Linked DNA regions of Oreochromis niloticus. The protein of the gene in region 1 purifies or fractionates together with the protein of each later gene. This does not show direct contact. Links are inferred from orthologs where the notes say so. Each region holds a gene or a part of one and is shown in the gene's direction. Other genes may lie near its edges.

Region 1 (7,477 bases):
ACATTTCCCCATAAGGACAAGTAAATGTATGAGTTTTTTGGTCCAGTAATGTACTTACCACTGATATACTATGAAGCTATACTAGTAAATTAAGAGAAACAAAAAAGTTTGCACTTTTTTGTTTCTCTGGCTGGCCTCCAGCTCGCCTTGGAACGGTTCACAGCCGAGTGTGAAGCGGTGGGAATGAGAATCAGCACCTCCAAATCTGAGGCCATGGTCGTCAGCCAGAAAAGGGTGGAGTGCCCACTCCAGGTCCGGGACAAGTTCCTGCCCCAAGTGGAGGAGTTTAAATATCTCGGGGTCTTGTTCACGAGTGACGGGAGAAGGGAGCGGGAGATTGACAGACGGATTGGTGCTGCGGCTGCAGTGATGCGGACGCTGTATCGGTCTGTTGTGGTGAAGAGAGAGCTGAGTGTAAAAGTGATCCTCTCAATTTACCGGTCGATCTACGTCCCTACCCTCACCTATGGTCACGAGCTGTGGGTAGTGACCGAAAGAACGAGATCGCGGATAAAAGCAGCGGAAATGGGCTTCCTTCAAAGGGTGGCTGGACTCTCCCTTAGAGATAGGGTGAGAAGTTCAGCCATCCGGGAGGGGCTCAGAGTAGAGCCGCTGCTCCTCCACATCGAAAGGAGCCAGATGCCAGTGGTTCGGGCATCTGACAAGGATGCCTCCTGTGCGCCTCCTGGGTGAGGTGTTCCGGGCATGTCCCACCATGAGGAGGCCCCGGGGCAGACCCAGGACACACTGGAGAGATTATATCTCTTGGCTGGTCTGGGAACGCCTGGGTGTTCCCCCGGACAAGCTGGAGGAGGTGGCTGGGGAGAGGGAGGTCTGGGCTTCTCTGTTTGGGCTGCTGCCCCTGCGACCCGGCCCCGGATAAGCGGAAGAAGATGGATGGATGGATGGAAAAAAGTTTGTAATTTACGTGTTAAGCAACTGAAGGAACTGAAGTGTTATTATGCAAAACATCTCCATATTACTATATGATATCACAACCCAATGTACAACAGGGATATTAGTCTAAGTTCAAAATGTGACGTGAGAATGTGACGGAATATGTCAAATAAAATTATGCTGCACTTCCTTGGGGGGTAAATGTGTAATAACAAAGCCAGAACGTATTGACCTGAGAGTGTAGTAACCATTCCTTTAATGCTGCTTTGTTTAAACTATGTGAACCAATAAATGAACAAAAACTACATTGTTTCCACTGAGTCACACACCACATACTTTTGAAAAGACCCACACCAGTGGAGAGAAGCCCCGTGTTTCATCAAAGTCTGCCAACATCCACAAAACAAATGTCCGGTCACATGTGTGATGGAGCAAGTGGCTAACAGAAAAATAAACAAATCAACAGAGAGCAATGTTGTTTCCACTGGTTTTTCTATGTAGGCCAAAGAGATATAACAGCATGTGTTTGTGTTGTCAGCGATCTGTGTTACCTGCACAAAGAAGGCTCCATCCAGCGCCTGAGACAGGTCATCATAACTGCTCAGAAGGGCAAGTTGCTGCGCAGCAGACAGCTCCCCTCGCAGCATGTGGGCTTCCTCCAGCTCCACCAGCTGTTTCCTGAGGGACAGAAACTGCAGTTAACACACACACACACACACACACAATGCACAAACAAACTGCCCTCTATCATGACATTTTCAATTAGAAAAGAATCATTACCACAGGCTTCATATATAAGTAGTAGTAGAATGTAGTAGACTGAAGACTTTGGAAGAAATGAACAGATGTGTTAGGTGTGTTATTATCAGCCAAAAGAAGTGGTTCTGATATAACACAAAGCAGACAACGCTTCAAATATGGATGCTGCTACAAAGAAGCTAGAGATTCTAAAGTGTCTGCTCTGTGCACATTTCCATCTCAGCAGCACAGAAGATTTAGACACTCAACACAGTTTCAGTGGGGGTAGATTATGTCACCAACTTCACCGTCTTACTGTATGAAAGTATGTATTGTATTGCACTATTGTGCAAATTTCTCTAATGAGGCATAAGTTTTTTACTCTGGTCTTTCATGCAGAAAAGAATAATAAAACAATAAAGATTCTGGTTTATAGATCGGTCGGACAACCTATTAATCAGAGTCTGAGCTAAAATGAGGTGCAGGTTTCAAAGGAGACCGTGTAGTCTGCTGCAAATCCTGTTATGCTGTCTTAACAGTAACACTGATGGCACTTTTAGGGTGTGGAGTACATACCACCACCTTTTTGCTCTTACTCCAGCCTATCAACCTGCTTCTTCAACATCTCTTTATAATTTGCCCTGTATATGGAGTGGTGATACAGCATGTGGCAGTTACATAACACTGTATCACATGAGTCAGGAAGATATCTTGGTTTGAAAAAAATTAAAGTAATTTAGACTAAGTGACGGTTTATGAAAACAGGGCACACAACAGATAGCAGTCTAGCTTGTTCAGCAGGAAATCATTCACAAAGGGCCCCTGAAATTTAATTCAATGACACCCTCTACTGTTCATATAAACAAATACGTCTCTAACGGGCTGAGTGATAGGCAGTGGCATGTACTCAGAGGGAGACTCACATTCATGAAATACTGGTATAGAGATTAAGGTATTAAGGTTTTTATAGCTTAAAGGCACTGTGACTTTCTACAGCACTTTCATTAAAAACTCTGCGTCATTCCACAGTAATGTTTAACCACTAATAGCCAGGCTGTGAACATGTGTTTATTCATGTGTGCTCACAGTAGGAGCCAACTGCTGATCATGCAGTATTCATATATGTCTTCTCTGTAAACACTGAAAGGAAGAACAGGTTACATTTTAGATAGGGTGTCTCTAACTCATCAGGGCAGAGAAGCCCCTAGTGTCAATGTTTCCTTTAGGTTTTGCAGGCACCAGACACTAGTTTAGCTTCTGTAATCTATATTTATATATTTATGATGATATATATGTGCTTTTTTGTTTTTACTAAGAATTACATCTGGGTTAAAACAAATTTCTGTTGACTATAGAGGTATAATAATGCAGTTAAGACTGAGGAAGTTTGTCTGTGTAACCCAGATGGGTCTTTAAGTTGAGCAGTAGGACTCACTTGATCTCTGCGATGGCCCTGGCAGACTGTCCTGGTTGGTTGTCATAGATCTTCACATTGTAGCCTCCACTGACAAACAGCATAGCCCAGGAGCGGCCTATCAGCCCACTAAAACAGGGAAGAAAATCGCACGGTAAGAGACATAAAACATAAACCCCAATAAGCAGACTTAAAAAACAAAATCAAAGCAAGGGCTGAATGTTGTTTTTCAGTAAAGTCCATTAAAATCACACAGCAGTAAAGTGCTGACAGTGTGCCTGTCTGCTTGCTGACACCAGCTTCATTTTCCTGTCTTCCTCTCATGTTTTGACATGTAACCAGAAGTGAAGTGTAAATTCACTATGAATGTTTTATCAATCCCTTTGCCACCCATCTGAATATTATTGCAATGTTAACACACAAAGATTACCCCCTAAAACGTATGGCAACATAAGTGAAGAACTGTGAGGTTCAGTGTTTGCTTTGCAAGTTTAAGAGAGGTCACTTCAGAGGGACTGCCATGTTTAATGAACAGGGTTCAGAAGACAGGTTCAATTTAAAACCTCTAAAATCACACAGCTATAAACCTTCACGCTGTAGCTATCGTTACGTGTCTGTAATAAACAGGATTCTTCACAAATTCATTCTGACTGAAAACACAAGACAAGCGTTCATTCAGAACAGTCCTGTTTATGTCGTTAGCAACAGGATGATGCACACAATGCAGTAACCAAAATAAAATTACATGCACTGATACTGCAAACTAGCTTTCAACCAGTTTTTCATTCAACAAAGCAACTTTCGTTTCAACTTCATGAATACAGGTGAGGGCTAGCATGGTTGCATCATTTTACAACGCAAAATACATTGTTATCTCGCTCACCTGCCAATCACAGTGATAATCTTCATGTCAGCAGCGCTCATTTTTAGATGTTACGAGACCAGCTAAAACTTAACTTACAGCATTTCTATTAATTTCTGTTGCGCCGCCCCCCTTGATAGTCACCGTAGTCACGCTGACCGTGCTGTACGGTGACCTAGAAGGACCAAAGGAGGCAAACGAGCGCAAAAAGCATGTTTTCCTTGAAATGAGCAGTAAAGAACCCCATAAACTATTAATTGTAACTTTTTATAAATAATAAATACAATGTATGTAAGTATTTAAAAATAAATATGAGAATATGAAGAAGAAATAGGTTGTAGCGTTGTAGTGTATCCTAGCAACGAATGAGCGCAACTTCAACCAATTAGGTTGAGGCCAGACGATGATGGACGCGTGAAAAACCAATCAGAGGTTTGAAAAGGAAACTGTCCCGCCCGTGCCGCGTTGAATTGTGGGATGAAATCCTAAAAGGACAACAAAATATTACCAGTTATCTCGCATAGAAAACTGTTTGTTTGCCACACATTGAGGAATATTTTCATATACTACCTTTCCGGAGAAACAGAAATGGAACATGTGCATCTGGCTGTAGAGGAGGACGACCTTTACTCGGGTTACAATGATTATAATCCGACATTTGACTCGGAGGTAAGTTAACCACTAACCTAACACTACATTAGTACATTGTTTCTAAGCGTATAGAAAGCAACTTTGAAAAATGAATGTTGGTTATATGAGATTGAGATAGTGGCATGACGAAAGACAAATTACTTCAGTTTTATTTCAAAATTGTTTGTGTGAAAAATGTCTGCTCTTCTGTCCGCCCACTATTTAAAAAATGAAGACTAATTGTTGTCCAATTTTAAGGAGCTGGAGAATGATGTGGGCTTCCAGCAAGCAGTGAGGACAAGTCATGGAAGAAGACCCCCGGTAAGTGCCAAATACTGTGTGTGTGTGTGTGTGTGTGTGTGTGTGTGTGTGTTTGTTTGTTTGTTTGTTTGTGCGCGTTTGTGTGAGTGAGTGAGTAAGTAAGTAAGTGGGAGAGAGAGGGAGAGGCTTACTGGAGGTGTATAAATCGTTTAACTACTAATATATCATGTCTTTAATTTTCTAGATGACTGCCAAGTTTCCTGGCACTCCCATTGGACCTCGATCTTTAGCTACTTCTTTTGGCGTAAGTACAAAGAAATAGAATGATCCTTTAAAAGTGAAACATTTTTGAATGATCACAACAAATACAGATACCTCCTTCAAAGTACAGTTCTGTGATGAAAGTTGCTCAGATTAAATCACTGATAGGTGACAAGATGTGCAGCCAATGATGGTGATTGTTTCATTACCGTGAAGCATTTATGTGGAATGTTTTTGTTCATATCTAAATGTTAAAAAGACCAAAATTATTGTTATTGATTACAATATTGATACTTATTGTTTCACAAAGGCTCGGCTTCATATGGCCTCTTCAATGGGACGACCCATGACTGGAGCTGTACAGGTGAGAATTATTATTAAATAATCGAATGTGCACATAAGGTCTTGCATAGTTTATGTTAGATTATTTTTTTATAATTAGAGTTTACTATATATGTATTTTTTGTTATTTGCAAATGTACCAGGATGGGTCAGCCCGACCAATGACTGCCGTCAGAGCAGCAGGTTACACCTCCGCCCTGAGTCGGGGTGAGTTTAAAGAAGTTGTCTGTTTCATCTATTTTCTTTTGCGTGTCGATAATGATTAAAAAGTTATTATTGTATACTTCAGGAATAGGTACAGTTGAGTGTCTCTAACATAAAAATCTAAAAAATAAAAAATTAGCATTTTTTTGTTAATATAAACCTCTTTCCATTCTTATAAGGACAGATTTAAATATGCAAGCTTTGTGTCTTTCCCCTTGCAGTGATATAGTGATGAAATGGTATGATTTATATTTTCAGGCTCAGCCTTTGACCCTCTGGGCCAGTCCAGAGGTCCTGCACCTGCACTCGAAGCAAAGAATGAGGATACGTAAGTTATCACTTTAGACTGCTTTGTTTCAGTGTGAAAATGCTATGCAGTACACTCACTCTGCAACTTCATTAGGTATGCCTGTTCAACTGCTCTCTGATGCAAATATCTAATCTGCCTGTCTTATGTCAGCAACTCAGTAAATTTAGGCACATAAACATGGTCAAGATGACCTGCTGAGGTTGAAACCTGGCATCCGGAAAAGGAATGTGATTTATATTACTTTGAACGGGGCATGACTGTTTGTGTGAAACAGCCTGGTTTGAGTGTTTTAAAAACTGCAGATCTGTTGGGAGCTGCAGTTGTCTGGTTGAAATTGTGTTGATGCTGCTTTGAGCTGATAGGAAGGCAACAGTTACTCAGACAACCACTCTTTACAATCAAAGTATGCAGAAGTGCATCTCTGAATGCACAACACATCAAACTTTAAAGCAGACGGGCTACATCAGCAGAAGACCACGCCATGCGACACTCCTGTTAGGTAATACAGGAAACTGAGGCTACAGTTCAGAGGATCACCGAAACTAATAGAATAGAAAAATAGAAAAAAACATTGCTTGTGGAATTCTTATTGTACGGTCAGAATTTGGCATAACGAACACGAAAACATTTCGCCATCCTTCTTCGCACCAGTGGTTCAGGCTGGGAGTGGTGGTGTAACGATGTGGGGGATATTTTCTTGGCACACCTTGGGCCTCTTATTATCAGCTATTATAAGCTCACAAACGTTTCACTCTCTTTTTTTCTGCATCATGTTCTTGCAGGCCTGAGGAGAAGATCAAAATCTTGGAGAAGAAAGTGAATGACCTGATAGAGGAGAGCTGCATGGCACAGAGCATGGGAGCCTTACAAGTGGTCAGCCTGTCCCTCTTTAACAAATTTTTTACTAATGTTGACTGTCTGGATTTAAAGAGAAGGCTCTCCACGTGGGGCAGTTCGCCATAATTCCTTTTTAACTGTGTCAGCTCTCTCAAAGTGATGTGTATAAAAACTGCTTACATTTCTACCAGAGTGATACCTAAAACGGCTGTTAGGACAAAGTACTTGAAGTTTATCAACCTTCCCATTTCCAGTGGTTTTTCATACATGGGGAAAATTGGTCTACATATTGTATAGGCACACATAACAGCAGTGTGCTGTTTGCTGTGATTTCTGAAAACTTTAAAAAAAACTCTTTTTAAAAATATTGTTATTACAGGTGATTTTCGTCTTGTGAAGGGCCAAGGCCTTTTTGGTCGGCACCAGAATGTCTAATGGGCAGGAAAAACTTGTTACATCATTGCAGCAGAGTGTGTATTCATAATTATTTCTGATTATTACCCAGAAGTGGCTTACTTGCTGTGTGTGTTTGTGTGGGTGTGTCTGTGTCTACAGGCCCTTGAAAAAGCCAAAGAGGCAGGGCGGAAGGAGCGAGCCCTGGTCAGACAGAGGGAACAGTCTGGCAGTGCAGACCATATAAATTTAGACCTCACCTACTCTGTAAGTCAGGCTGCTGTATGCTTGTTCTACACTCTGCACTCATGAGTAACCATTTTCTTTC
Region 2 (7,041 bases), on another chromosome or scaffold:
TTCTTTTCTGCTCTTTACAGTTGGGTCCACAAAAAGAAGTTGGGCCTATTACAATCCAGTCCTGCAATAAATGTTCATATTCTATCTTTATTGTTCAGATTACAAACACTTTGCTCACATTTCATCTTTCTGACTACAACAAACATTCAACCTCCTATCGGGAATTTAATTAACACCTGAAACTGATTTAATCACAATTTAAAAACAAAAATAAGAGGAGTAGTATGCATGAAAGTAATTTTGTTGTTAGACTAATAATGAATCAGCTCCCTAAAGAGCCTTTCTTCTTACCTGTCTGAAAGCACGCATGGGAGGTGGTACTGGAGGAAATCCAGGAAAACCAGGAGCCCACATAGGAGGTGATTCTTTGTGGGTCTTGGACTTGTGGCCCTTATTAGGTGACTGTTTGTGCTGGTTTGGAGTAGCTGACCTGTCACTCTCCTCTGTTGAAGATTCTACTTCATGCACCTATGGATAGCAAAGACATACTGCTTTGATCTTTCTCCCCATTTTCATATCATTGGGAACAAATACAGAGAAATCCATAAACCTATCTGAATTTGTTTGGGAAGCAGTAAGAAATGATCCAGACAAAAGCAGAAAGAGCTAACCCATCCATCCATACTTGGTCCTAAGTTTTAATAGACTGAGAAAGCAATCTGTTAATCGGCAGTGATTTCCATGACTCACCATTTGATAAATATTGGGTGGAGTAATTAATAATAATTTCATATTTTTTGGTCTTTGACGCCAACTGCCGAAATTTCGACTGTTATATTCATTAAGTTGTGGCCTATTAAAAAACCCAAATGACAATGGATTGCTTGCCAATTATTTAAGCCTGATTTGGTCACAATGTTAGTTTTGTTATTTTAAAATTCATGATGTGCATATGTGAATAATGAAGGTAAAAACTATGTGCAAATTGTGTCAGGGAACAATACTACCATTTTCTAATAACTGAATTGTTATTTGTATTGTGCTGCTGTTATGTGAATGCATTTATTTGCACTAGTTTACCTTGGTATTTGATTCCTCATCACCCTCCGAAAACTCTGACAGCAGGTCTTCAAGATTCTGCTCCTCCTCGTTGCCATAGCCTGTATAAACAACTATACAAGTGCCTCTCTTCTTGTCTATGGAGGCAATCGTGGCTGCATAGAGCTGGCCATCCTCGGACCAGTAAGCACTGCATGAGTCCCCAACCTGCCACTGTGACACAACATAAACTGTAATTAAAGTGAAAGCGTCAACATGTGTAAACAACGCTGTTTTTGAATGTCTCAGAATTACCAACAGGGTACAGTTGTGGTCAGAAAAAATACTCATCATGGGCATGAATGTCATGGTAACATGGTGCAGAAGAGGTGCACAAGTTTAAATTAAATTTCTATGGGATCAAAAGTATACATAAGGCATATACACATATACTCCGAATAACGCGTTAAATGTCCCTGAGCAAGTCGCGCCTCCACCAGATGGCTTTTGGTAACCATCAACAAGCTTCTGGTGTATTTCTGGTTAAATATTTGATCATTCTTCTCGCCAGAACTAATAGAGTTCATTTAAATTTGTTGGCTTCCAGCACAAACCCAGGTTTTAAGCAAAGTCCACAAATTTTAATGGGGGTGAGGTCGGGCTTTGGGAAGGTAATTCCAAAAGCTTAATGTTAGCCTGCTTTATCCATTCTAAATCCAGTTTTGATGTGTGTTTGGGAACAATGTCCTGTTGGAACAGTTTTCCAATGACTGATTTGAGGTGAAATTATGTTTCAAAGCCTAATATTTACTGCTCCAAACATACTTCTTGTCATTGTGGACAAATAGCTACACCTTTGTCTTGTCTGATCGTAAAACTTTTCTACAGAAGACATTTGGCTTGTCCATGTGGGCTGCTGCAAATTTCAGGCAGGCTTGAAAATCTTTTGGTGCAGGTGCTTCTTTCTTGGTTGGCACCCTTCCACTTCACAGTGATGCAAAACTGGCTTCACTGTGTACAGTGACACTGATGCTGCAGCAGTTTCCAGTTCATGGCAGACTTGAGCCTCAGCGGTTCCTGGGTTGTTCCTGAACATCCTAACCAATTTCCTTTAATCTGAGGATGTAACAGATTGGGTCTTCTTTGAGACCTTGGATAAGAGGTCACGTGTGCAAGTAACTGTTACTTGCTTACAATTGTTTAAACTGATTATCTTAAAATCTGAAGTTGTTTAGGGACAGCTCCAAGACCATCCCAACCCGTATAAATGTACGATTCTCCTTCTTAGACCTTCATAGAATAGCCTGGCGTTTCCTATTGTAACAAGCACTGGTCAATCCAATAACTGCTGCCATGCAAATCCTATTTATGATGGCAGAGAAACTATTAGATTTAGTCAATCATGATCACTAATGACAAGTTAACAGGCCTTGCCAAGTTCTAAGTCATTGTTGAACCTTCAGCACCACTTACTAAAATATTTAAGTGAATGTATGTATATATTTGAGCCCGTATTTATACTTTTCACCCTGTGTGGATTAGAGAAAATCCACCTCCCAAAAATTTGTTGTCCACCAAATTCTTGATTTTAAAACCCATTTAGGATGTATGCTGTGCAATCACTCCACAAAGTAAAAAGAACAGTTAAAAGAAATTATTAAAATCCTCAAATTATGATGACATTCATGCCTGTGATAAGTGTAGTTAAACTTCTGACCATAACTGTAGAAACTGTAAATGAAAGACACATTTCGACCACTGATTTGAAACACAGAATCTAAACTGACTTATGTTAAAATGTACTCTCCAGTTTGATACCTCTGACAACTTTGTAAACATCATGTGTAAATATTTAACACCTTTTCCCCTTCAAATGTATCTGTAGCTTTAGTTCCAGTTCCTCACCTCTTTTTCTGGTGGTGCATTGTTTCTTTTCCTACTCTGGTTCTTCTTGTTGTTCTTGCGTTTCTTTCCTGGTTGGTTTTTCTTTGAGACTTGTGGCTCATCTTCACCCTTAAGGGCAGTCTAATACGCAAATCAGGAAGAGACTTTAAAGTCACAAACAACATTTCACATTCACACATACTGCAATAATCCCAAGTTACCTTGAAAGATGCAACTGCCTTGTCATAAGCCTTTATCAGTGCGGTGTCATCCCAGATGTCTGAATCATCACTCTGGAAGAGAACAACAAATTTGGAGTCTTTACAAAACGAACATGTATTTTTGATGGGTATACATAAATAATGGCTAAACATTAAGTGATTTAAAAATAATAAATAATACCTGCAAACCAGATGACATTTGCAGCCAATATTTATTTGTTGTGTCAAAATAATTCACTAAATAGTAAAAGATGGTGTGCTGAAGAGCAGAAAGACATTAAAACACTTAATTTATGATGAATAATTAATCAATTTCTTTCGTGGAAAAAGGATAAACAACACACAAAAAGACGAGCACATTAAATGTTGCTGAATTATTATTATTATTTTTAAATCAGTCTTAAATCCACAATTATAATGAAGCATCTTACAAGCAGTGCATGCAAAAACAGAGTCAGGATGCAAAGGATCTTAGGGTTATTGTACAGTACACCTTTGTCTCCTGTAAACTGTTGCAACTCAACCTAAAACTACTTTGTAAAGCATTTTTTGTAACGTTTATCCACAACGGTATATTCCAATAAAGCCACGTTTTGTTTATTGAAGAACATCTGGTATATTGTTTATTTCCGGCTTGACTTCTTTTATTCCTTTTCTCATATCTTAAGTTAGCCTAACTCAACGTTGGTTTGTAGCTTTTAGCTATATAGCTCACCGCCTCAAACAACTGCACAGACAGCATAGAAGCGTCATATAAGTCATGTTCCTCCGCTTAATAGTGCATTATAACTCGCCTGTCCAGTTCCGCGCGTAAAAAGCACTTCTTCGCATCCGTTCGCCATGTGAACAATTGCTATATCCAGTGCTAGCCGCTAACTCCTAAACATCTAACTAGCAGCGTGCGTCGGAAATTGTGACGTACAACATTGCGACGTCTATATCTTGCGACGCAGTGGTTGGCTTGGCAACGGCAATTGACGACTTTCCCCCCTTAAGAATCTGTAAACAAGCATTTGTTGTGTCCTGTTATAGAAAAACCAGAAAGCCTCGGAGACTATAACCTTTTCTGTGCGATGATTGAGTCCTCTTTAACTTCTTTAGGTGCGAAAGTTGTCCTCGCTGCATCCAGCGATGAAAATCACCCACCAGAAAGCATTATCGACGGGTGAGTGCTGGTTCTTAAGCCGTGGTTATCTCAGCAGTTTTATCTTTGTCAATTTTCATATATTCATTTAAACAAAACGAAACAAATTATGTGATTTTGCTACAAGTTGCTACTAAAAGGTGCCTGAAGATGCAACTTAAAATTGCTTCTTTGCTAAGCTGTCTGTTGTGTTGACATAACACTGGTTCGTCCCTTTAAAGTCAAAACTTTATTGTCATCTCTGCTAAATACAGTTCAGTACATAGAGAGACGAGACGACGAGGCTCCAGTTCCATAAAGTGCAAAAGAACAACAAGAAATGTAGGAAGAGTAAGAATAGAAAGAATAAATATATATACACTTTGAGACTGAGGTAAGGGGAGTAAATATACACTTTGAGGTAAAAGGGTTAATAACAGTCTAAAATTTACATTTTACAATTGATATTTAAGTGGTTTAAAATGACCAACGTAGCAGCTTTACAGTTTACACTGTGAAATAAAGGGACTAACATGAGGAGGATTCCTGAGAGTAGGACTGTCCATAGAGCAGCATCTGTATTTACAAAGGCAGTGGTATGTGGAGTCCGGTAGAGTCAGTTAGTGGTTTGTGTGGGTGTGTGTGATGGGGTGGAGTGGGGGAGCTGGTAGTGAGTTCAGGAGTTTGATGGTTTGTGGGAAAAAGCTGTCTCGCAGTCTGGAGGATGCTGCGATAGCGTCTGCCGGATGAGAGGAGGGAAAAGAGTCCGTGTGAGGGGTGTGAGGGGTCACGCACGATGCAGGAGGCCTTACTGATGCAGCGTTTGTGAAAGATGTCCTGTAGCAGAGGGAGAGATGTTCCAATGATCTTTGCAGCTGCTTTGACGATCAGATGTAGCTGGCTGAGGTCACCGACTTTGCAGTTTCCAAACCACACGGGGATGCAGGTGTTCAGAACACTCTCTATGGCGCCCCTGTAGAACATGGTGAGGGTGGGACCAGGGAGGTTAGCCCGCTTCAGGCGTCTCAGGAATTGGAGGCGCTGCTGGGCCTTTTTGGTGATGGAGGTGGTGTTGGTGGTCCAGGTGAGGTTGTCTGAGATGTGAACTCCCAGGAACCTGGTGCTGTTAACAGTCTCTACTGTGGAACCGTTGATGCTGAGTGGTGTGTGAGTGGAGCGAGTCTTCCTGAAGTCGATGATCATCTCCTTGGTTTTGTCCACATTCAGTGACAGGTTGTTTTCACTGCACCAGAACGCCAGCTGCTGAACCTCATCTTTGTGCACTGACTCGTCGTTGCTGCTGATGAGTCCAACCACGGGTGTGTAGTCGGTGAACTTGATGATGTGGTTAGAGCTGTGTAGGGCAGTCCAGTCGTGTGTCAGGAGGGTGAACAACAGAGGGCTGAGAACACAGCCCTGAGGAGCTCCTGTGCTCAGCCTGATGGTGCTGGAGATGTTGTCGCCGATTCAGACGGACTGAGGCCTCTCTGACAGGAAATCTAGTATCCAGTTGCAGAGAGAGGTGCTCAGCAGCATGAACAGCATTCTGACATAGTTGTCTTTCTTGCCCAGGTGGGAGAGGGAGAGGTGAAGTGCAGTGGAAATAGCATCCTTGGTCGACCTGTTTGGCCAGTATGCAAACTGTGGCGGGTCCAGTGAGCAGGGGAGGTTGCTCTACCGGGATGATGATGGTGGACTTGAAGCACGCTGGGATGATCATCAGGCTCAGTGATGAGTTGAAGATGTCTCTGTAGTCATCGGCCAGCTGATCAGCGGAGTATCTCAGCACGCGTTCCACGTTGTGGAAGTGGCTCTGGATCTTTTGTGCATGTGCACGCTTTGCTTGTCGGATGGCGCGAGAGAGATTTAGGTGTCTTGAATTACGTGCTGTATTTTTTGCTTGAATGAGTCACATGATTGTGCAAATGACTGGAAAAGCAGTAGGACTATTGCTTTAGCTAACATTTTTGATATTTCCGGAAAGTCTGGCTACATGGCAGCAAAATAGGAAGAAGATTTTTTGCGCAATATTGTATATCTGCACAACAAAAGTTGATATCAAAATGTGATTTAAACAGATCTCATCAATGGTAAAATGTCATGATTTTCTGTCTTTCTTATCACTCAGAAACACTAAAACGTTTTGGATGTCCACTGGGATGTTTCCTCAAGAGTTCATCATTCACTTCCCTGAACCTACAAACATTGGCACTGTGACAGTGGACAGCTACAATGGTATGGAGGCTGTGTGCACCTTAGGGCAAACATGCATGTCCAGTTCTATAAACGTTGGGTCCATCTGTAAAATTTGATGAACTGAATTTCCAAATACTTTTCCACCTTACCTCAGTCAATTTTAAATGAGCCAACATTTCTGGATCGTGTTCATGTATGGCCTTTACTTTGCGTGATGGAGCTTTAACCTGAGTTGAATGGATGGTAGATTGAATTGTAGTAACAGACCGGAAGTGTTCCTAAAATCATGCAGTGATTTCTATGACATAATCATGCCTGTTTTTCAGTGCTGCCTGAGGGCCTAAAGATCAAGGGTATCCATCTGTTTTCAGCCTGTATTTATTTGTCCCTTGCGCACAGAGATTTCTTCAGATGTCCTGAATCTTTTTAAACAGAGATATTCTTTTTATACCCAGTCATGTTATTGACCTGTTGCCCGTTAACCTGACTGGCTACAAAATGTTCCTCTGTCTCTTTTTAGTATCACTTGCTGTTCCAAGCTTTTGTTGGCTCCGTCCCAACTTTTTTTGAGATGTATTTCTGCCATCAAATTCAAAATGACCTTGTGTTTTTTTCTCAGTTTAAATATCTGATGTGTTT
Region 3 (7,917 bases), on another chromosome or scaffold:
CAACAAGACCTATAAATCCAAACACAATTTAAAGCTTCACCATAGAATTCACACCGGAGAGAGACCGCACAGCTGTGACGAGTGTGGAGCAGCTTTCAACACTTTAGGCGCTCTACAAATCCACCAGCGCATCCACACAGGAGAGAAACCCTACAGCTGTGAAGAGTGTGGCGCAGCCTTCGCAGTTTCGAGTACACTGAAAAAGCATCTCCGTGTTCACACTGGAGAGAAACCCTATGTTTGTAAAGAATGTGGCAAACGGTTTACGGAGTCCAGCGCCCTCAGGGGCCATCAACGGGTGCACACTGGAGAGAAACCATATAGCTGTGACCTGTGTGACAAAACCTTTGCACAGCTGGGGGCCTTAAAGAGCCACCGCCGTAGCCACACTGGAGAGAAGCCATACTGGTGCGACAAGTGCAACAAAACCTTTTCTAATCGGTCCACTCTAACCCACCACATGCGTGTGCACACTGGAGAGAGACCGTTCTGGTGCGAAACGTGCGGGAAAACATTTGTTTGGCAACGCAGCCTGAAGGAGCATCAACTCTCTCACACAGGGTACCCGTGCAGACGCTGCGGGGACGTGTTCCCTGATCGAAGTCTTCTGTACAATCACAACCTTGGTCACAGGTGGAGAGACAAACAGGTCAAGAGAGCAATGCAAATGAAATCTGAGGCTGAGAATCAACACCCACCCTGTGTTTTTGTTTAAGCTTTTGCCCCTGTAGCAGGGGCAATAAGAACTGGCTTGTGGCCACGACCTTCAGACTCACTGTCTAATGTCAAAACTGACCTCAGTCCAGCTCAAGCAGATAGTATGAAGGATATGAAGTTGTTTCTTTGAGAAATGATTAAAATCCTTTTTTTTAAATATCAATTCATTAAATCCAAAAATGCCAGAATCTCAGATTAAAACTCATAAAACTATTTCAACAAACGCCAAACAGCTAAAACGGCAAATGAGAGCAGGTAAACAGATTCAGCACAAAATGCAGACCTGATGCATCAGAATCTCACCAAGCTACACGAACTCGCCGTTGGAGCTGAAAGCCGACATCTCGCAGATTCTCTGCAGGTTTCATTATTCTCCGACCAAAATTCACTGAACCAGCAGAAAAGAAGATCAGAACCTTTTTTTCTTCAAAAATTCCGACAAGAAAGCCTAATTTCTGCTTTTCTGTACTGAAGAAATGTACACTTAAAAAAAAAAAAAAAGATTATGCCAAATTACAAATTGCTGTGTCTCTAATAAAACCTCTGTAACATTACTCTGCTTCACTTCAGCAACATCAGGTCATATGTTGATTTTCTTTCGTTTTTATTGTATTGCAGAATATTTTTAAGGTTGTCTGCTATAAAAAGCCAGGCCAGGAAAATCACTTTTATGTTTTTCTGTGTTTTATCCCCAGTTAAGCTGGGCATACACTGTGCAATTTTTTTTCAGTCACGTTATTCAGCTCCTGCTCAAAGTGACTGAATCGCAGGGGTTAGAAGTTCGTAGGTCACGATGCAGGGTCTCACACTATACAGCCCGATGCTCAGCTCTGCGACCTGAGTGCTCACACTGTGCATCCAAATTTTAGCTTGGTAACATGAAGTGTTACCAAAGCTTATATTATATAGCTAAGATATAACACAAAATCTGTCTCTTGCTCTTCCTCTCTCTCCCTCTCTGTCTTTCACTCACACAGACACACACCACCAACAACATCAACTAAAATGCTAATAAAAAACACTGACTTACAACACAGCTGCAATTGAGCAGCAATGTCCATCCTACTTCTTTCGCGGATGCAATGATAATTTTCTAAGCCCACATCAAAAAGGCTTGGATGGGCTTGCCAAAGTTCTACAAGTCCGCTGCTTGCGTCCAGATCACACACTGCACTGATTCATCTTTTTCACTTCGTTTTCTGTATTTGCACATGCGGAGTGTGAGATGTTGCGTTAAATTGGCTCTTCGCATCGCATCTATAGTGTGCCCTCACGAGTGGCAACCATGTGACCGTACAATTGCTGACTGGGAGCTGGTCGTGAGGTGTTAATCGCTTCTCATTACCCCATGTATACTACATGATGCATGACACACGATTAAGGTGAAACTCCCCAAATCTCCGTTAGCGAGTTGATGCTGACAGCACTAAGTAAAACAAAAGGAAAAGTCAGATTTATAAAGAGTCGATCTCCAAAACAGTCGCAGGAGTGAAAAATCGTCTCAAAATGGGCCATAAATTGTATGTCCAGCTTAACTTTGACACAAAGGCATCTGCTGTGATGTTTACACCTGTGATGAAATCTCACTAGTGTCAGATTTTATTTTATACACAGACATAAAAATATGGATATGTACAGATAAATGATCCGAATTATAATCTTTCTGTCTGAGTCAAAATTGAATCGAATCAAATCAATTATAGAAATCAGATACCCAGCCCTGTTTTTTTTCTGCCAAATATTTGCTAATGTTTTTCAACCACAATTTTATCAGCTTGATAAAGAAATGACTGAAACACTCTTGTGAGGCCTGTTTAGTGAACTGATGTTGATCTTAACTGATTTAATTCCTACTCCTTTTCTTATTTTAAGTTTATCGTTCTAATCGTTTTCTGCTGCATTATATTTTCAATTTTATTTTGTTGTTTAGGGATTTTTGGCAACATGGGGGTTAGAAGGTCCTGAGTTCAATTCCACCATCAGGCCGGGGTCTTTTTGTGTGGAGTTTGCATGTTCTCCCCGTGTTTGTGTGGGTTCTCCCCTGGTACTCCGGCTTCCTCCCACCATCCAAAGACATGCACTTTGTGGGGATAGGTTAACTGAAAAATCTAAATTGCCCACAGGTGTGAATGCTGGAGTGAATGTGAGTGTGAATGGTTGTCTGTCTATGTGCGTTGGCCCTGCAACAGACTGGCGACCTGTCCAGGGTGTACACCGCCTCTTCCCCTATGACAGCTGGAATAGGCTCCAGCACCCCCTGCGACCCTGAAAAGGATAAGCGGAAGCGAATGGATGGATGGAAGGATTTAGTTTTAGGTCTTTTTGTTACTGTTTTTTTTTCTTGTGTTCTTTTCTTCATGTTTGCTGTTCTGATTTTTTTTTAATTCATGGCTTTACTGTGAGGCTTTACATGTGGGGTGTTAGGTTTTTGTATTGTTTATTGTCATTTATGCCTAGAAATATTTACTCATATATGCTTAGAAGTATATAATCATTTGTAGATTGAAAGAATGTCTCATCCCAGGAGGTCTGTAACAACTCTGTGTAGCATGAAGAGGGGAGTGCGTTCACTCCTCTTCAGAGTGTTGTGGCATAGATCACACGCCTCCTAGGAGAGGTCGTATTTTCTCTTGCTGATATATGGTATAGCAAACACACGTATATCTGTGGCTCTTAGACTCTGTTTGAGTTTAAGAGCCTTTTGTTTAGATGGACCGCTAGACTCCTGGCACCAGCTTTGGGGAGTCACACACACACACACACACACACACACACACACACACACAGGGTATTCTTTGTTCACATGTATACCTATATAAGAGGTCATATGTTAATGAACCTATGCATATTCATGTAACCACAATAAAAGAGCAGTGTTACGGGAGAGCGGACGAGAGCAACTGGGGTCAAGCGAAGGAACGGCACCTGTCCAGTTCTCTCCCGTGCACGTGAAACATAAAGAACTTGCCTACTCGAGTCTTGCTTGCTGTGTAATTACATTGTCCTCGACGTTCCAGCGAATAGGTTCAAGCTACAAACCTATCAGGGTTTCACAATTTGTATTTGCACCCGGATTAAGATGTGCTCTCTAAATAAAGGTTTTCTTAATTGACTTCTGAACCAAATAACAGCTTATGAGGTGGTAACTATCTGGGAACGTGTCCTCAGGGCGCGAGTGCCTCTTGTTTTCTGGAGTAAAAACCTGTTCAGCATAACTGAAGAATAAAGGTGCACTAAACGATGAGGATGATGTTGAGTGGTGGTGACACATACAGGTTGCACAGCTGTGACTTCCAACCAACATAAAATCAAGATCATCAAAATGTAACGACCTCGAAAGGAAATCTGCAATGACCCAAACGCTTTAATAAAGTTTAATGAAAGAATCGTTTTTGCCTCAGGATTTTATAATCATCAATGCCAGTGCTGATTTATGAGAAACATCAATTTCATTTAATATAGGATTTAAACAGCACCAGATGAGACAAGGATAAAAGACAAAAGATAGCATGAAAAAAGAATAATGCACAACTAAAACCAAAGCCCTGAAATATTATTTTATGATTATTTGCTGTTTTCGTTCATCTTTAAAAACTCTCCTGAGAGACTGTGAAAAGCTGCCAGGAAACCTGAATTGTTTCAGGTAGGTGGAAAACATCCACAGCACCGCAATAACAAAATAACTCAAGTACCTTTATTAAGAGGAGTCGGCACCCCACAAACAGCTGTGGACGGCCTTGTTTGTGTAAACCCTTTGTTATTGAGAACAGATGAATAAATATCGTCACTTCACACTTCAGGAAACCTTTCCCTGTGTGTTCATCAGAAATATATTGATGACAATGAGCCTCAATAGTTTTTCTTTTTAAAAAGATTTGATTTTTTTGGATTTAAAATGGTTTTGTTAACATTTTTATTTATTTGTTTTTATTTCAGTCATTCAGTCTCCAGATTTAGAGGAACCTCAGCCATCCATCCAATAATAAATGCACCACTGTTTCATTTTCTTCCAGTTACTTTAAAGCACTTATTTTTTATTCTATATAATATAATATAATATAATATAATATAATATAATATAATATAATATAATATGCCTTGCAGCTGGAGCTTCTGCTCTCATTTGATTCTAACTACACTACCCATGATGCCCTTCCCGTCCCGTTGCCAGGATACGTAACATTCCACAAAGGCCATTTTGACGCCGAAAAGCGAGTTTGGCTTGAACTCAGACGTCAAGTAAGACATTTAAAACATTTATCGGATTTGAATTTAGCTCTGCCGGCAGGTCGTTTGTCTCTGTATGCCGAGTGTGTGCTGTCTCAGGTGGGTTAACCGGCTTAAAACCGCCGGTGTCGGCTTCTTGTTAGCTGTCTGCTGCTAGGCGGCTAATGCTACTGTAAACCGTTGTTTCTGATGGAGGTTTTACTGTGTCCGCCCGCAGCTGACCCGCCGGACTCCGATGGAGCGGGCTGACCGGGACAGAGGAGGCCGCCTGCTGAAGAACCAGCCGTACGACGAGAGCCTGGATGTGGCGGACGCCGAGGAGGTACCGAGCGTGTACAGCCCGACTCCGCGCAGCCAGCCCCAGGTAATCTCCTCCTGTCCTTGCGGAGAGCTCCGGTTTAACCGGTGATCGTGACGCCTGCTCGTGTTTCTTCTTTATTTAAAGCTCAAAGTGTTTCCAGTCACAAACTCGTCTCATATAAGAAGCTGTGTAGAAATGACAGAAGAGTGAATCCGGTGATGTTAAGTTGTGAGCATCATGTTTTAAACCCTAGTTTTTATTAAAACAGTAAATAAAGTTTCCTTCCATCAGAGTTGAACTGTAAGCTGAGTCACTCCTGCCATGCTCCAGGTTGGTCTCAGGTCCTGGTTTTGTTCCTTCGTCTTTCAGGTGGAGTTCAGGAGGAGCAGCAGGAGGGTTCACAGCCTGATGTCGGCCCACAGCAGCAGCGACGAGTTTGACGAGGACCACGGGAGGGGGAAGGAGCCGGCAGGGGGGCGGCCAGAAGAGGAAGAAGAGGATGATGACGAAGAAGATGATGACGACGACGACGACGACTCCGAAGATGACGAGTCGGAGGAGGACAGCAAGCTCCACAAGGCGCCGGAGGGCCTGTATGATCCCGCCGACTACGCCAGCCTGCCTGTCAGCACCGACATCAAAGAGCTGTTCCAGTACATCACACGGTGAGCAGAGACACACGTGCCAACTCATGTTTTTTAACACCATCTGGTGCTTGTTTCTGCTAAAAAAAACCTTATCAAAGTTTATTGATAAAGCACCGAATCACAACAACAGTCACCACAAAGCACTTTATATTGTTAAGCCCTGCAGTAAATCACGTAGTTGTCACGCACACATCTGGAGTGCTTCCATGTTTTGTCTCAGATACACCCCCGAGTCTGTTGAGCTGGAGCACAACCTGAAGCCATTTATCCCGGACTTCATCCCCGCGGTGGGAGACATTGACGCCTTCCTCAAGGTTCGAACACAATCACACCTGATAGCACAGAAAGCGCAACCTCTGACCTCAGAGTGACCTCATGTTGTAATCCCACAGGTGCCGAGGCCCGATGACAAACCGGACAACCTGGGGCTGCTGGTTCTGGATGAGCCCAGCGTGAAGCAGTCGGACCCGACGGTGCTGTCGCTGTTTCTGTCGGAGGAGACCAAGCAGCACGGCGCCACCGAGGTACACACACACACACACCTGTACACACACACACTCAGCATTAAAGTCAGAGTCACTCCTCATTGTTTCCTCTCCTGCAGGTGAAGAAGGTGACGAGCATTGCCAACCCTCAGAGCAACCTGCGGGCAGTGGACAGCTGGGTGGAGAGCATCAGCGCGCTGCACCGCTCCAAGCCGCCAGCGAGCGTCCAGTACAGCCGACCGATGCCTGACATCGACAGCTTGATGCAGGAGTGGCCAACCGAGCTGGAGGAGCTGCTGGACCGCCTGCAGCTGCCGTCCGCCCGCCTGAACTGTGACCTGCCGCAGTATGCGGACATCGTGTGTGGCCTGCTCGACATCCCCGTTTATGGCAGCCACGTCCAGTCCCTGCACCTGCTCTTCAGCCTCTACCTGGAGTTCAGAGACTCGCAGCACTTCACACGCAGAGCTTAGTGGCTGGAAGTACGACATCCAGAGGGTCACAAAAGTCTGTTCAGGAACTGAAAACTAACCCCAGATGTGCCAGATGTTCGACTCTTTTGTGCTGAGAACCTGTTGCTCTGCTTTTGTTTATTTCCTCAATTTGTTTTCTGTTTGTCCACTGAAATAAAAGCCATGTTCAAGCTCTTTGTAAAAACACAGCTTTCGAGCTTCATCTAACCTAAGCTTACTTTCACTGTGAACCTGTGCCACCTGCAGCAGCCTGAATACTTCAGGAACCAGATGAAGGTCCTTGATAAACACTGTAATAAACCAGCTGCTCAGAACAAGGTCACTGTCTGAACATCTGTAAAGTCCTGAGCCTGCAAAAACCGTCTATGTTACTCAAAGATGCCCATATATATTATATGTAGAATAGAATAGAATAGAATAGAATAATCCTTTAATTGTCCCACAAGGGGAAATTTGGTTGTAACAGCAGCCAAAAAGACACATATACAAACAAACAGGACACAGAACAGAAACATACACAATTTTTCTTAAATATTTACATATGTAACTAATAAAGTAAACTCTGTGAGTGTAACCCAGTCATAGATTACATATTGTTATAATTACACAAACTGTGTTCTTTATACCTGACTGTGAGGACCTTCAAGCCTGTAGTTATATTCATTATCGGTTAGAGCCCCTTCTCATTGTTCTTCTTCGTTGGTGCAACCCTATAAATACAGTGTACCCCTTTGGTCTCTCCCGTTTTCTACAATTCCCCCGTGGGAGAGGTGGCTGTCATTTCTTTCCAGACCGTGTACAACACACATATAATTCATATTTAGGCACCCTGATGTTTCTGATAGTGATTTTAGTTCAATTATTGTCATCATTATGCCTGTTTTTTGTTAGACGCTATAAATGTGTAGTACGTGTGTGCCATAAATGTGTTTTAGGCGCCATTAATGCTAGCACGAATATATAATTATGGCTAGCTTGGAAGTTGTGATGGGTTGAGCTAACCCTCTCCCCCCACTGTTTGTATTTGGTTGTAGGAGCTGGAGCGAGCAAGTTATTTACTCGGAGGT

What was found.
Region 2: the proteins of ift88 (region 1) and hspb11 purify together in Homo sapiens (affinity purification with mass spectrometry; 3 studies listed by BioGRID and IntAct, with this or other methods). This does not show direct contact. The link is inferred for Oreochromis niloticus from reciprocal best matches to the Homo sapiens genes IFT88 and IFT25.
Region 3: the proteins of ift88 (region 1) and ift46 purify together in Homo sapiens (affinity purification with mass spectrometry; 3 studies listed by BioGRID and IntAct, with this or other methods). This does not show direct contact. The link is inferred for Oreochromis niloticus from reciprocal best matches to the Homo sapiens genes IFT88 and IFT46.

What each region holds. Positions count from the first base shown.
Region 1 is NC_031987.2:27,525,346-27,532,822, forward strand, and holds the start of ift88 (intraflagellar transport protein 88 homolog), read left to right. Parts: upstream 1-4,291; 5' UTR 4,292-4,499; coding exon 4,500-4,580; intron 4,581-4,799; coding exon 4,800-4,862; intron 4,863-5,046; coding exon 5,047-5,106; intron 5,107-5,373; coding exon 5,374-5,427; intron 5,428-5,548; coding exon 5,549-5,612; intron 5,613-5,867; coding exon 5,868-5,937; intron 5,938-6,701; coding exon 6,702-6,792; intron 6,793-7,311; coding exon 7,312-7,416; intron 7,417-7,477. Other genes in the region: cryl1 (lambda-crystallin homolog), read right to left, coding at 1,449-1,575, 3,071-3,178, 3,933-3,973. UniProt on the Homo sapiens protein: Positively regulates primary cilium biogenesis. Also involved in autophagy since it is required for trafficking of ATG16L and the expansion of the autophagic compartment.
Region 2 is NC_031977.2:14,352,073-14,359,113, reverse strand, and holds the start of hspb11 (intraflagellar transport protein 25 homolog), read left to right. Parts: upstream 1-4,032; 5' UTR 4,033-4,156; coding exon 4,157-4,248; intron 4,249-6,334; coding exon 6,335-6,441; intron 6,442-7,041. Other genes in the region: smn1 (survival motor neuron protein 1), read right to left, coding at 292-468, 1,021-1,212, 2,884-3,003, 3,084-3,155, 3,878-3,925. UniProt on the Homo sapiens protein: Component of the IFT complex B required for sonic hedgehog/SHH signaling.
Region 3 is NC_031967.2:75,493,302-75,501,218, forward strand, and holds ift46 (intraflagellar transport protein 46 homolog), read left to right. Parts: upstream 1-4,835; 5' UTR 4,836-4,956; exon of another isoform or gene 4,957-5,043; intron 5,044-5,161; 5' UTR 5,162-5,179; coding exon 5,180-5,308; intron 5,309-5,614; coding exon 5,615-5,910; intron 5,911-6,112; coding exon 6,113-6,206; intron 6,207-6,284; coding exon 6,285-6,416; intron 6,417-6,496; coding exon 6,497-6,850; 3' UTR 6,851-7,721; downstream 7,722-7,917. Other genes in the region: gastrula zinc finger protein XlCGF49.1-like, read left to right, coding at 1-715. UniProt on the Homo sapiens protein: Forms part of a complex involved in intraflagellar transport (IFT), the bi-directional movement of particles required for the assembly, maintenance and functioning of primary cilia. May play a role in chondrocyte maturation and skeletogenesis.